Macaca mulatta: one gene and its partners. The protein of the gene in region 3 purifies or fractionates together with the protein of the main gene of each other region. This does not show direct contact. Links are inferred from orthologs where the notes say so. Each region holds a gene or a part of one and is shown on either strand. Other genes may lie near its edges.

The links.
Region 1: the proteins of DDX3X (region 3) and FUS purify together in Homo sapiens (affinity purification with mass spectrometry; 3 studies listed by BioGRID and IntAct, with this or other methods). This does not show direct contact. The link is inferred for Macaca mulatta from reciprocal best matches to the Homo sapiens genes DDX3X and FUS.
Region 2: the proteins of DDX3X (region 3) and EIF3D fractionate together in Homo sapiens (co-fractionation; 3 studies listed by BioGRID and IntAct, with this or other methods). This does not show direct contact. The link is inferred for Macaca mulatta from reciprocal best matches to the Homo sapiens genes DDX3X and EIF3D.

What each region holds. Positions count from the first base shown.
Region 1 is NC_133425.1:29,826,373-29,831,208, forward strand, and holds part of FUS (RNA-binding protein FUS), read left to right. Parts: intron 1-210; coding exon 211-235; intron 236-325; coding exon 326-495; intron 496-1,633; coding exon of another isoform or gene 1,634-1,636; coding exon 1,637-1,778; intron 1,779-1,982; coding exon 1,983-2,168; intron 2,169-2,354; coding exon of another isoform or gene 2,355-2,358; coding exon 2,359-2,625; intron 2,626-4,243; coding exon 4,244-4,278; intron 4,279-4,836. UniProt on the Homo sapiens protein: DNA/RNA-binding protein that plays a role in various cellular processes such as transcription regulation, RNA splicing, RNA transport, DNA repair and damage response. Binds to ssRNA containing the consensus sequence 5'-AGGUAA-3'.
Region 2 is NC_133415.1:15,017,380-15,022,215, forward strand, and holds part of EIF3D (eukaryotic translation initiation factor 3 subunit D), read left to right. Parts: intron 1-179; exon of another isoform or gene 180-265; intron 266-944; 5' UTR 945-954; coding exon 955-1,077; intron 1,078-1,365; coding exon 1,366-1,411; intron 1,412-2,332; coding exon 2,333-2,469; intron 2,470-3,084; coding exon 3,085-3,170; intron 3,171-3,784; coding exon 3,785-3,857; intron 3,858-4,836. UniProt on the Homo sapiens protein: mRNA cap-binding component of the eukaryotic translation initiation factor 3 (eIF-3) complex, a complex required for several steps in the initiation of protein synthesis of a specialized repertoire of mRNAs.
Region 3 is NC_133426.1:41,242,941-41,247,776, forward strand, and holds part of DDX3X (ATP-dependent RNA helicase DDX3X), read left to right. Parts: intron 1-137; coding exon 138-273; intron 274-657; coding exon 658-743; intron 744-953; coding exon 954-1,052; intron 1,053-1,160; coding exon 1,161-1,321; intron 1,322-2,072; coding exon 2,073-2,217; intron 2,218-2,608; coding exon 2,609-2,753; intron 2,754-3,756; coding exon 3,757-3,938; intron 3,939-4,031; coding exon 4,032-4,149; intron 4,150-4,385; coding exon 4,386-4,539; intron 4,540-4,836. UniProt on the Homo sapiens protein: Multifunctional ATP-dependent RNA helicase. The ATPase activity can be stimulated by various ribo-and deoxynucleic acids indicative for a relaxed substrate specificity.

The sequences.
Region 1 (4,836 bases), on a different chromosome or scaffold from region 3:
TGGGGCTTCATGTTGGTTGGAATTCCTGACCCCAAGTGATCCATCCACCTCGGCCTCCCAAAGTGCTGGGATTATAGGCGTGAGCCACCGCACCTGGCCTGTGTGGTCCTATTTATTCATCAGTGCTTGAGTTAAGGAATTTAGCTTTAATTCAACTGTTTCAGAGTGGCGGCTGAAGATAATATGATTGTATTTTTTTTTTTTTTGCAGATTATACCCAACAAGCAACCCAAAGGTGAGTGCTGTTTTTGGGCTTCCAGAGTTTGTAGAGGGGAAGGGTGGTCAAGCTGTGTTTTCTGATCACGCTGGTTTTCCTTTCATCTAGCTATGGGGCCTACCCCACCCAGCCTGGGCAGGGCTATTCCCAGCAGAGCAGTCAGCCCTACGGACAGCAGAGTTACAGCGGTTACAGCCAGTCCACGGACACTTCAGGCTATGGCCAGAGCAGCTATTCTTCTTACGGCCAGAGCCAGAGCAGTGAGTCTTTCTCAGCAGGTCACCTCTTCCTGCTCTTTCTGAATATTGCTTTTCTTTTTTTTCTTTTTCTTTGGGAGACGGAGTCTCATCCTGTTGCCCAGGCTGGAGTGCAATGGTGCTATCTCAGCTCACTGCAACATCCGCCTCCCGGGTTCAAACAATTCCCCTGCCTCAGCCTCCTGAGTAGCTGGGATTACAGGCACCTGCTACCACGCCCTACTGATTTTTGTATTTTTAGTAGAGATGGGGTTTCACCATGTTCGATAGGCTGGTCTAGAACTCCTGACCTTGTGATCCACCTGCGTCAGTCTCCCAAAGTGCTGGGATTACAGGTGTGAGCCATCACGCCCTGAATGTCCCTTTTCTTAAACCTGAGCAGGACTGAAGTGTTGAAACTCTTCCATATTTCTTTTCCCTAAATGAGTGTATAATTCTTAAAACTCTTTGGGATCTGAGTCCTTTACAGGGCATTGTGGCACACCTGTAGTCCCAGCTACTGAGGAGTCTGAGGCAGGAGGATCCCTTGAGTTCAGGAGTTTGGGGCTGCAGTGAGCTATGATAGTGACTGAACAGCGACTGCATTCCAGCCTGGGCAGTGTATTGCGGCCCCATCTCAAAAAACAAAAATGTTTTTTGGTTTGTGATTCTGTTTACATTTGTTTTCTTTGGCTTTTAATTTTTATGACTCTCATTTCCCATCTCAGCATGAAAGAGCATATTTTCTAACGGGAGAACCAGTTTTAGGCCAATTCTTAAATGGAGAAAATGGTTATGCTTGAAACAAATGTATGAAATCATGTGATACATAAGGAGGTGGGATTTGCCCCAAGGTCCTGAAGTGTAACTAAGAAAGGTGGTTGTCCTGTACGTAACTGCATGCACAGCTGCATATCACAGTGCTGTTAACAGGAATCCTTGGGCTTGGGATTAGAGGGTGTTGGGGTTGGCGGGGTTAAATTGGAACTGTCTTAGGATAGAAGTTGGAGCATTAACTTTGGGCTTTGAAAGGAGGGTAACTATCTTTATGAGTTGCAAGATTATGAACAGCTTCTGAAAGGCTGACTTTTTGGGTATAGGTATTAGGTTGTATATGTTTTAACACATTTCTTACATTTTCTTTTTCCTGGTGGCTTTTGTGACTTCTTTTTTCTTGTAGCAGGCTATGGAACTCAGTCAGCTCCCCAGGGATATGGCTCGACTGGCGGCTATGGCAGTAGCCAGAGCTCCCAATCTTCTTATGGGCAGCAGTCCTCCTACCCTGGCTATGGCCAGCAGCCAACTCCCAGCAGCACCTCGGGAAGGTACGGTGGTGTCGATGTCGGGGAAGGCTTGAAAAGAGGGGTGAATTGATGAGGAATGATAAAGGGACCAGCAGCAGTAGGAGCAGTTTAGAGGTGTAATTGGGGTAGGGGAGCCTGTGTTGAGTACAGAGAATGGAATCCACTAAAAGGAAATTGGGGGGGTATGCTGGGATTGTGATTGTGTTTTTTGTTTGTTTTCCTTAGTTACGGTAGCAGTTCTCAGACCAGCAGCTATGGGCAGCCCCCGAGTGGGGGCTACGGCCAGCAGCCTAGCTATGGTGGACAGCAGCAAAGCTATGGACAGCAGCAAAGCTATAATCCCCCTCAGGGCTATGGACAGCAGAACCAGTACAACAGCAGCAGCAGTGGTAGTGGAGGTGGAGGTGAGATGTCCTCAGCTTTGTCTGCAGCCCATTTTCTATAAGGATTTGTATTCTGTTTTAGCCTAAAAGGGTTCCTGTTTTATTTCCTAGCTGTCTTTTTAATTTCTTTTGTACTTCATTGCCTGGCACTTGTCATACCTTTTTGTGCTACTTTACAATTTTTTTTTTTAAACCATCCTTTTTTTTCTCACAGGTAGCTATGGCCAAGATCAATCCTCCATGAGTGGTGGTGGTGGTGGCGGCGGCGGCGGTGGCGGCGGCAGCAGTGGTGGTGGTGGTGGTGGTTATGGCAATCAAGACCAGAGTGGTGGAGGCGGCAGTGGCTACGGACAGCAGGACCGTGGAGGCCGTGGCAGGGGCGGCAGCAGTGGTGGCGGCGGCGGTGGTGGTGGTTACAACCGCAGCAGTGGTGGCTATGAACCCAGAGGTCGTGGAGGTGGCCGTGGAGGCAGAGGTGGCATGGGGTAGGTGTCTCATGAGCCAGGGAGTATCTTTGGTGGGGAGTGTGGAGGATTGCATGAATCTCCCTGAAGCCAGTCCCTAATGCATGGTTTAGTATTCTTGTTGTCTGGGGGATCTGTGAGGGCTTTGATTTGGGGGCAGTGATTTTCTTTTTACATCCCCATTTTATTTTTGTGAGAATTTGGGAGCCTGAACTCCCATCCATACCACCGAATAGAGATTTTGAGTATTGATACTTGTTTCCAAAAAAAAGAAATCATACATAGATTTCCAATACGTATGGATTGGAGTCATTGATATCCTAGGCAAGAAACATGGAAGTGAAGACTTCTTTCTCTGCAAGGGAAACCGATGAACCCACTCCTGGGAAATAGTAGGGAAACTTGGTATGTGTGTTCCCGTGTGTCCTCTAGGGAGTTGGTAATGGTTAACCTGACTTCAGCTTCCAGGAATTGGTTACTCTTCCCGTTTTCTGTAGTCATTTGAATCCACGAGCTTGATTTGCACCAATTTGACCGACATTGATTTTGGGTGTGACTTGGTTTATGGGACCAACTGACTGAAGTGTGCAGACCTTTTGGGCAAAAATATGCTTGACAGTGGTCTCCCACCTAGTTGTTCCACTGTCTGCCTTACCCTGGTTACTTAAAATTCATCAGCTTGTCCAACTGGACCTTCTTTCCTTCCTGCTGAAGTTGATTTGAAGTAAAACCTTAGATTTGATGTTAAAACAGTTGTCAAATCTGTCGGTAAATACGATTTGAAGGACCCTACTCTGTCTCCCTTGAAAAAGGGCAGGAATGTCAGTGTAACTGTTTTTGGAAAAAGTAGATTTTTAAACTGAGTTTGGATATGGTAAGTATGCAGAGGTGGGTGGGGGCAATCTCAAAAACGTACAAAAATGAGGAAAACTCTGTTGTGTGCGTGTGTTTAATGCAAAACTTTAAAAAGAAAAACAACTGTTATGTGACTGTTAACTTGCTCTGCATTTTATGTGCCACAGGTATGAAAGGTGACATTGCAAAATACTCCGCTCTTCTCGCAGTGTAGAAGGGGTGACCCCGGGGGTTGGGGGAGATTAAAAACAGCTCAGTAGTTAGGACAGAGCTTAGCTAAGTTTGTCTTGCTTTAAGGGGAAGTTGCCTTTGGTTTTGACTTTTTATGGAATGGGGTTGGGTCTGCTTGCTGCTTTCAAAGCAAAAACCACAAAAGTGTGTTCAAGGCTACCCCAGCCTGGTGTGAAATGTCTTCTGGGTAAATTGGGGTAGGGTTTTTAAACCAACTACTTGGTTGTCAACCACTTGCGACAAGAGGAAAAAAAAACATCTGCTCCATCGGAAGAACGACCAAGGAAAATGGGTCATTTTTTTCCAGAGGAAATAGATACATAACCTTTTAAAGCAAAATCTTTATAAACTGTGTCTGAGAAATTGCACACGTGTGTGTGACATGCTCAAAGGTCAGACAAGGGGTGGTCAGGAAGGGATGTATTTTAGTAGCCACTTGTATCTTTTTCCAAAAACACCTACCTGTGTTTGGGAAATGTTAAACAAAATCAAAAAACACCCTTTTGTAGCCGTTGGAAGCTTCATGTCCTTTCTTCTAACTTGTCTTCTCCAGCGGAAGTGACCGTGGTGGCTTCAATAAATTTGGTGGTAAGTGAACAGAGTTTCCAAAATTCCCAACTCCCAGCAATGCTTTGTCTGATTGTTCATTTGCAGATGTCTTAGCGTGTTAATTTAAATGTCAAAGGTTTTGAGGTGTCCAGAACCACCTCCATAAAGGGGTAGGGTAGAATGCCACCTGTTGCCTGGTGTGTGCTAACCTGGAGCAGGCAGGGGTAAGATTCAATAGTCGTCTTTTACCAAATGGGTTTGCCCCAGGTTAATAAGAGGGGTTTAGTAGGCCTTGGACAGGGCTGTTGCCACACCTGGCACTTAGTGACCATCATCATGAGAAACTGGAGAGTGCGTGCTGGAACACGTGGTGCCATCTTGACTTTAGGATCCTTTTGATCATTGTGTCCAAGGCTTGTGTGTGTGTGAGAGTGGGAGACAACCTCCAAATGTTTTAATTCTGGAAGAGGGATGTAACATTGCCCTAAGAATGGTGAAGTTGGTATACCTTTATAAAGTACGGAATGGTGTCAATGAATGCAATTCTATGTATATGGACTTAACTCAGATGGGCAAATAGAAACTAGCTCTGGGAAG
Region 2 (4,836 bases), on a different chromosome or scaffold from region 3:
ACAGGATTTGCGTTGATGGCAGAAAATTGAAACAATAAGAAAGGAAAATTGAATTTCAGGATATACTTAAAGATCCTTTTTTCTCAGCACTCTCTATGCATAAATGTACTTTTGCAAGTCTGAATACTCGTGTGGCATTTTACAAAGTGCTTAAAACAAGGATCTTGTTTATTTTGCAGATGAAAAAGACTAAGGCGGCTGGACGTGGTGGCTCACGCCTGTAATCCCAGCACTTTGGGAGGCCGAGGTGGGCGGATCATTTGAGGTCAGGAGTTCAAGACCAACCTGGACAACATGGTGAAACCCCATCTCTACTAAAAGCACAAAAAATAGCCAGGCAGTGCTTGCCTGTAATCCCAGCTACTCAGGAGGCTGAGGCAGGAGAATCACTTGAACCCAGGAAGCGGAGGTTGCATGCCACTGCACTCCAGCATGGGTGACAAAGTGAGACTCTGTCTCCAAAAACAAAGAAAAAGACTACTAAGTCTTAGGGAAGTTGAGTTTGTATGAATTGGTGAACGTATATCTCAGAACCAAAACAAGGTTACTATATTTGAAAAAACATCAGTACATTTTATCAAATCTGTGACACCATTGAATTTTTTCAAACACTTACATTGTGTAACACAAAAAAAGAAAAACTACCAATCAATATGACACTCTGTCAAGCACAAGGTGCTGCCTCCTTTTAAAGCTGTTACAGTGAAAGAGTTTCGTGAAATTAATGACATAGGGTCAATCAGTTTTGTTTGCATTCTTCTCAGTTTTAAGTACATATTCACAGTATAATTAACAAACAGTAGTAGTCGCTCAACAGTTGAGGGTTCCAGTTTGCGTGTTGCTTTTTGAATTCTGTCATTTATGTCTGCTTACTTCATATGGAGGGCTTTTTGTACTCTGAGGCCTTCGTTCATGCCGCTACTCACATGATTTATATTTTTCAGGTTTTGGAAGATGGCAAAGTTCATGACACCCGTGATCCAGGACAACCCCTCCGGCTGGGGTCCCTGTGCGGTTCCCGAGCAGTTTCGGGATATGCCCTACCAGCCGTTCAGCAAAGGAGATCGGCTAGGAAAGGTACTTGCCTGTCAGCAGGAGTCTGAATCTTTGCAGCTGTGGCTGCTGCTCTCGAGTCCCTGTTTAGATTTTATTGTTGCAAAATCTTAACTCGTGAATTTTTTATAGGGATGGCAGCTGAGAAAGGTTGTCATCTCTGGGTGTAGTGATAGGAGAGCTGGGCACTTAGGTGTGGTGAACGAATTCTGAGACTCTCCCACGCTGTCCTCTCGCTTTCAGGGGTTTCCGGGTCTGTGGAAGCTTGCCTGGTTGACCTGTGCATTCTCTGTCTTGCCTTGTTGTTCATAGGTTGCAGACTGGACAGGAGCCACGTACCAAGATAAGAGGTACACAAGTAAGTGTTTCTGCGGCTGAATGCCCCAATCAGGGCCTTGGGAAAGTTGTTCTTTATTCTAATGACCTTCATCTGAAAGCTTTTTTGGAATAGGAAGGAACTGGCAACAATAATTCATAGCTTTTAGGGATATAGTCTGGACTTTAACAGTAACCACATTTTTGGAACTAGCCCCCAAAACTTAGTCTGTTCATTAAAGAGGTCTAGCCTATTAAAATGGGATTTGGGGCCCTTTTAAAAACCTGTTGAAAACATTAGCTGGGCATGGTAGCATGCGCCTGTAATCTCAGCTACTCGGGAGATTGATGCAGGAGAATCACTTGGACCCAGAAGGCAGAGGTTGCAGTGAGCCAAGATCATGCCACTGCACTGCAGCCTGGTGACAGAGCCAGACCCTGTCTCAAAAAAAAAAAATTAAAACCCCTGGTTTTAAGATCCTGGTACTATAAAAAGGCTTTTTCTCTGTGCCATTTCAGATAGTTGCAGGTGGCTGCCTGGAGAACTAAGTTAGGATAGCTGAGGCTGAGATTGGCAAGAAAGTATATCGTGATCCATTAGACATACCTGCCGTGGGTCCCTGATAATGGAGATGATGGTTAGCAATAAATACCTCAGATTCTCACACAATAAAGCAGAGAGTAAAATGGGTTAGCTTGAGTCCTTCAGAGTCTTCGCTTAGAAAGTTCTTTAGACCAGAGTTTTTCAAAATTGAATGTGCATATGAATCACCTGGGGATCTTGTTAAAATGCTGGTTCTGATTCGGTGGGTATGGGGTGGGACTGTGAGTCTGTGTGTCTAACAAGCTTCCAGCCAATGCTACAGGTCTCAAGACCACCCTGGAAATAGCAAGGCTTTAGACTGGTGCGTATCTGGTAAAGTCTGTGAATGTAGTTACTACATGCCGGCACTTTTGCCTCCAGATAAGTACTCCTCTCAGTTTGGTGGTGGAAGTCAATATGCTTATTTCCACGAGGAGGATGAAAGTAGCTTCCAGCTGGTGGATACAGCGCGCACACAGAAGACGGCCTACCAGCGGAATCGGATGAGATTTGCCCAGGTAAGCCAAGAACCAGCAACCACCATCTTGGGGCTGTTACTGTTGGCCATCACCTGCCTAAAAATGCTACCTTGTGACTCCTAATGAGAGAGGGAAGCATATTAGAGGTCTTCTCAGGTGAATCTCAGGTCACTGTTCTGTAACAAGAGGTACCAAGGTAAACTTGAACTAGGTTCAAGGATGCATTTAAATAGTTTATGTTTCTGTTTACCAGTAGGTAGGACATCAGACTTGTATGCTAAAAGCATTTGTGCTGGATAAGAAGGTGCACCCGTGCCTGTTGCCACAGGTAATTGGTGTGTGCAGACTTTATTAAGTAGACGGTCCAGTCAGGTTGCGTATTATTACTTAAAGAGGCAAACTCAGAAACTCTAAAAAGACCCAGTAAACATACTTCAATGAAAAATATGTCACGGGAATATAAGTCTAAGCAAAGTCCAAGTACTTACCCCCTAACACCCCCAAGCTGTTGATGCCGTAGAGTGAAAGCACAGAGCAAGATGTGAAACTTGGGATTTGGCATCTTAAACTTACTCGAAAGACCTCCTCCTCATTCTGCCTATTGTGAGCCAAATCTCCAAGATGCTAACATGGATATTTCTTGCTGATGCCCAGAGGAACCTCCGCAGAGACAAAGATCGTCGGAACATGTTGCAGTTCAACCTGCAGATCCTGCCTAAGAGTGCCAAACAAAAAGAGAGGTGAGATTTTCATCCTACTGGAACAAGACACCCTTCCCAGACTGGCCGTAGTTGGAAACAGTAGGACAAAAGCGGGAGGGTGGTTGTCTTCCCCATCATTACAAAAAAAGAAAAAGAGGAAAATACCTTCTACAACCAGTTAAGCCACCTTTTGGCTTGTTGTTCTCAGGCTGGTTCATGGCAGATAGCATGAGCAGCAGACTGAACTCCTTGTGCTGGCCGTGTGCACTGAAGGGAAACCCAGGCAGGCAAGAAGAGGCTCTGGAGCTTACCTTGGCTCAGTTCTGCTGTGGGACAGCTCCAGGAAGCCCCATGTATGCTGGTCCTGGGAGCCTCCTGGTGGTGTGTGGTCCAGCAGCCACTACACCCCAGATTGGAGCTATCAGTGAACAGGCACTATAGATGAAGTAAAATATGCCTGGTCAGTATTTGGAGGCAGTGTGCTTTTCCAATGTGTACCCTCTGGGTCTCTTCCTTTCTCTAAGCCCATTTTTCATAGTTCAATGGAGTTAGTGATCATGGCAAGTTTTAGCTGAAGAGAATGGCACCCTGTGCCTTTTGAGGAAGCCACTAATTTTAAGGTCTGCTCTGAGATCATATTTCTATCTTTCCAGAGAACGCATTCGACTGCAGAAAAAGTTCCAGAAGCAATTTGGGGTTAGGCAGAAATGGGATCAGAAATCACAGGTAATGCAATTATACCAGAATTCTGCCTTGGAATTTGGTTCTGTTTATTTGGTTGTCTTTATAATAGCTTAGATGAGATATACTTCACATACCGTACAATTTAGTCGTTTTTAACATATTTGCAGAGTTCTGTAACTGGTCAATTTCAGACCATTTTCATCACCCTCAAGAGAATCCCTTACCCTTTAGCAGTCACCCTGTCTTGATCTGTTTTCTGTTGCCAGAACAGAATACCTGAGAGTGGGTAAGTTATAAAGTGGTTTCTTTAGCTCATGGTTCTGGAGACTGGGAAGTCCTGGATCAGGAGCGGCATCTGGTGAGGGCCTCATGCTGCTTGATAGCATGGCAGAAAAGGCAGAAGGGGGAGGAGGGTGCAACAGAGAAAAAGGCTAAACTGTTTGGGTAGTTAGCCCATTGCTGAGAGAAGGGCATAGGCATTTATTCCTTTTAACGACCTAATCTCTTAAAGGCCCTACCTCCCGACACTGCCACAGTAGCAACCAGCGTGCCACATGAGTTCCAGGAGGCCAGACGCTAACACGCCCAATACCCCAGCCCTAGGCAGCTACAAATCTGTTTTCTGTCTCTGGATTTTTTGTTCTAGACATTCTACATACATGGAATCATACAATATATGGTCTTTTGTAACTGGTGGCTTTTTTTTCGCATGTTTTCAAGAGTCATCCATGTGGCAGCATGTGCCGGTACAGTTGTCCTTCAGTATGTGAAAGTCTACACATTCTCAGGTCCCACAGTCGGCCTGTGGTACCCACATATATGAAAAGTTGGCCCTCCATATACTCGGGGTTTGCATGCCAAGAATACTTTTTTTTTTTTTTTTTTTTTTCTTTTTCTTTTTCTTTTTTGAGACAGGGTCTCGCTCTGTCACCCAGGCTGGAGTGCAGTGGCGTGATCTTAGCCAACTGCAGTCTCTCTCTGCTGGGTTCAAGCAATCCTCCCACCTCAGCCTTCTGAGTAG
Region 3 (4,836 bases):
TTTTCTCAAAAGTATAATATGGTAATTTTCTTAAACTATAAGCTGAGTTACAAATCAGCTGTTGGTTGTTTCCATTATTAGTATAAAACAGAAATAGCTTTAGATAGCATTTCTAACCCCATTGAATTTCTTCACAGTTCAGTGATGTTGAGATGGGAGAAATTATCATGGGAAACATTGAGCTTACTCGTTATACTCGCCCAACTCCAGTGCAGAAGCACGCTATTCCTATTATCAAAGAGAAAAGAGACTTGATGGCTTGTGCCCAAACAGGTAAGCTCAGCTCATAAGAGTAAAACATTATCATATTTTTTCTGTAAAGGACTAGACAATAAAATATTTTTTTATGGGCCATGCAGTTTTGCAGCTGCTCAGCGCTGCTATTGGACTGTGAGAGAAGCCATAGATGATACATAAATTATTGGGTATGGCTGTATTCCGTAAGAGCTGTATTTATAAAAATAGCAGGCTTTATTTACAAAAATAGTTGTCTCAGTTTGCTGACTCCTCTTAGAGATGGACCAAAGAAGCCACTTTTTGGAAAACTTAATCATAAACTAAAAGTACTAATTACTAGTAATAGGGCAGTTAAAAAACACTGTCATCTACCAATGTCTGTTTAAAATTAATGAGCAGGATTTGTTTGTTTTTGAACAGGGTCTGGAAAAACTGCAGCATTTCTCTTGCCCATCTTGAGTCAGATTTATTCAGATGGTCCAGGCGAGGCTTTGAGGGCCATGAAGGTAGATGTTTCTTTATAAAATGGGAAATTATTGTAGAACTTTGTAGGAGGCCATTGAGAGGGCTTTCTAAATGATGCTAAGACTTAAGTCGAATGAAAAACAGTTTTCAAGTGTAATCTGTAATCTATAAATTACAAAAGGGAATTATGTTGTGATGAACTTTTCAAACAGGGTAGGTAGAGTTAACTTAAAAATTGATTTATTTCTTAGGAAAATGGAAGGTATGGGCGCCGCAAACAGTACCCAATCTCCTTGGTATTAGCACCAACGAGAGAGTTGGCAGTACAGATCTACGAGGAAGCCAGAAAAGTAAGTATGAGTTCCAGTGATTATTAGCTTTTTCATTGATTCTAATTAAATGTTTTATGAATATGTAAAAATTTTGATCTTGAAGTTCATAACTTTTTTTGCTTACAGTTTTCATACCGATCTAGAGTTCGTCCTTGCGTGGTTTATGGTGGTGCCGATATTGGTCAGCAGATTCGAGACTTGGAACGTGGATGCCATTTGTTAGTAGCCACTCCAGGACGTCTAGTGGATATGATGGAAAGAGGAAAGATTGGATTAGACTTTTGCAAGTATGTTTTTTTGTTTTGTTTTGTTTTGTTTTGTTTTTGGCGGAGTTTCACTCTTGTTGCCCAGGCTGGAGTGCCATGGCACGATCTCGGCTCACTGCAACCTCACCTCCCGGGTTCAAGTGGCTCTCCTGCCTCAGCCTCCCAAGTAGCTGGGATTACAGGCATGTGCCACTACGCCCAGCTAATTTTTGTATTTTTAGTAGAGACGGGGTTTCTCCGTGTTGGTCAGGCTGGTCACGAACTTCCAACCTCAGGTGATCCACCTGCCTTGGCCTCCCAAAGTGCTGGGATTACAGGCATGAGCCATCGGCGCTTGGCTATGTTAATTTTTAAATGTATGGGATGCAGTATTAAAGTTACTGGCCATTAGGTTTGTGGTGGTGGCAACATTGTCTAAATTTTAAGATTGAGAAGTGATGTATTTCAGACATCTAACTTTTACAAAAATCTTGTTCATGGTAATTTTAATGTTGAAAAATCAGTAGTAACATCTTGGTGGAGGCTTAGAATGATCAGCTCGTGGGACAGTCAACTAGGATGGGCTAATTTGGCTGTGTAATCTTGAATGACTTATGTAGTGGCAAGGATCCTGTGCTGGGTCTGTAAAATTACGCAGTGTGAGGCACCACCTTAATGAATATATAATTGTAGTAACTTACACAATTGCAATTATACTAACAGCCATACTAAAACCATCTTGATTTCTCCTCATTCTAAACTCAGGTTTGTTTTTTTTTTCATGACATGACAGATACTTGGTGTTAGATGAAGCTGATCGGATGTTGGATATGGGGTTTGAGCCTCAGATTCGTAGAATAGTTGAACAAGATACTATGCCTCCAAAGGGTGTCCGCCACACTATGATGTTTAGTGCTACTTTTCCTAAGGAAATACAGGTACTGTTGGATGTTGCAAATTTTATTTATTTATTTATTTATTTAATTTTTTTGAGAAGCTCTGTCGCCCAGGAGTGCAGTGGCGCTCAGCTCACTGCAAGCTCCGCCTCCCGGGTTTACGCCATTCTTCTGCCTCAGCCTCCAGGTAGCTGGGACTACAGGTGCCCGCCACCGCGCCTGGCTAGTTTTTTTTTTTTTTTTTTTTGTCAGTAGAGACAGGGTTTCACCGTGTTAGCCAGGATGGTCTCAATCTCCTGACCTCGTGATCTGCCTGTCTCAGCCTCCCAAAGTGCTGGGATTACAGGCTTGAGCCACCGTGCCTGGCCCTGCAAATTTTATTTATTTAGAAATTTGTTTATCTCAGGTAATAAAAATATTTTTTTTCTTTCAGATGCTGGCTCGTGATTTCTTAGATGAATATATCTTCTTGGCTGTAGGAAGAGTTGGCTCTACCTCTGAAAACATCACACAGAAAGTAGTTTGGGTGGAAGAATCAGACAAACGGTCATTTCTGCTTGACCTCCTAAATGCAACAGGTAACATTTTGATTTTTTTTTTTTTTTTTGAGACAGAGTCTCGCTCTGTTGCCCAGGCTGGAGTGCAGTGGTGCAATCTCGGCTCACTGCAAGCTCCGCCTCCTGGGTTCACGCCATTCTCCTGCTTCAGCCTCCCATGCTCCCATGTAGCTGGGACTACAGGCGCCTGCTACCGCACCCGGCTAATTTTTTGTATTTTTAGTAGAGATGGGGTTTCACCATGTTAGCCAGGATGGTCTCGATCTCCTGACCTCGTGATCTGCCCGTCTCGGGCTCCCAAAGTGCTGGGATTACAGGCCTCGTGAGCCACCGCGCCCAGCCGGCATTATGAATTTTTTATTTTTTTTTTAGAGATGGGGGTTTCTCTGTGTTGCCCAGGCTGGAGTGCAGGGGTTATTCACAGGCGCGATCCCATTACTGATCAGCATGGGAGTATTTGACCTGCTCTGTTTCTGACCTGGGCTGGTTCACCCCTCCTTAGACAACCTGGTGCTCCCTTGCTTCCGGGAGGTTATCATGTTGATCCCAAACTTAGTGTGGACACCTGATAGGCATAGTACACTACAGCCCAGAACTCGTAGACTTAGACAATCCTCCTGCCTCAGCCTCCAGAGTAGCTGGGCCTACAGGCACGTACCACTGCACCCATCTAAAATTATGAATAATTTTCATTGCTCTGGTGGTGATCCATTTGGGCTGGGTGCAGTGGTACGTGCATGTAGTCCCAGCTACTTGGCAGGCTGAGGCTGTAGTATGCCATGATTGCACCTGTGAATGGCCAGTTTACTCCCAGCCTGGGCAATATAGTGAGACACCCCCCATGTCTTCAATGTATTTGGATTACCTTTATTACTTTTCCTCCTCAATTCAAAACATGCTGTTAAAAGCCCATTTTTAAGAAGATATGTATGTATTTTAATTGACACATGAAAATTGTGCATACATAAGTGCAAAGAGAACTAAGCCATATTAGTGACAAAAACCTATAATTTTTCAACGACAGGCAAGGATTCACTGACCCTAGTGTTTGTGGAGACCAAAAAGGGTGCAGATTCTCTGGAGGATTTCTTATACCATGAAGGATACGCATGTACCAGTATCCATGGAGACCGTTCTCAGAGGGATAGGGAAGAGGCCCTTCACCAGTTCCGCTCAGGAAAAAGCCCAATTCTAGTGGCTACAGCAGTATGTATAAAAACATCCTTCTTTGATTCCAGTTGAGCATGTTCAAGTATTTTTCTTTTAAGTGGGCCATATCTCATATAAGTTATTTTTCAGGTAGCAGCAAGAGGACTGGACATTTCAAATGTGAAACATGTTATCAATTTTGACTTACCAAGTGATATTGAAGAATACGTACATCGCATTGGTCGTACAGGACGTGTAGGAAACCTTGGTAAGTATTTGATTACTTGATGACTTCATGTTTTTAGCTGTGATGCGTGCAGCAAAGAACTTGCTAGGATCTAAAATACATTTTTAACAATGAAAGTGACAAAAGATTTTGCTCAAAGCACTTGTTTAAATAATAGATTGTAATATTTTAAATATTTCTGCATAGGAAAGTAAGAAGGGTAGCAAGTTACTTTGTGGAAGACGTTTGTTTATATAGTTTTTTGGGGACTCTTTTAGGCCTGGCAACCTCATTCTTTAACGAGAGGAACATAAATATTACTAAGGATTTGTTGGATCTTCTTGTTGAAGCTAAACAAGAAGTGCCATCTTGGTTAGAAAACATGGCTTATGAACACCACTACAAGGGTAGCAGTCGTGGACGTTCTAAGAGGTGAGGTATATATGGTGTAATAGGTGTTGACTTACAGTTTCTAGTGTTTCCTCTGCATGCATAATGTCCAGCGTTAACTTCACAGTATTTAAAAAGCTGAATCATCTTAGGCTTTCTAGATTCTTTGGTAAGGGGTTGTATTAGAATGGATGACACTCCATTCTAATGTTGGGGAAAATATGGCTGGATGGGGAATTGTTTGAATGGAAAAATAGAAATTGGTCATTGGGACGTATGTAAGAGTTAGGTTACTTCAGTGGAATTTCATCTTCATGTGAACCAACATAAATTTTTTCT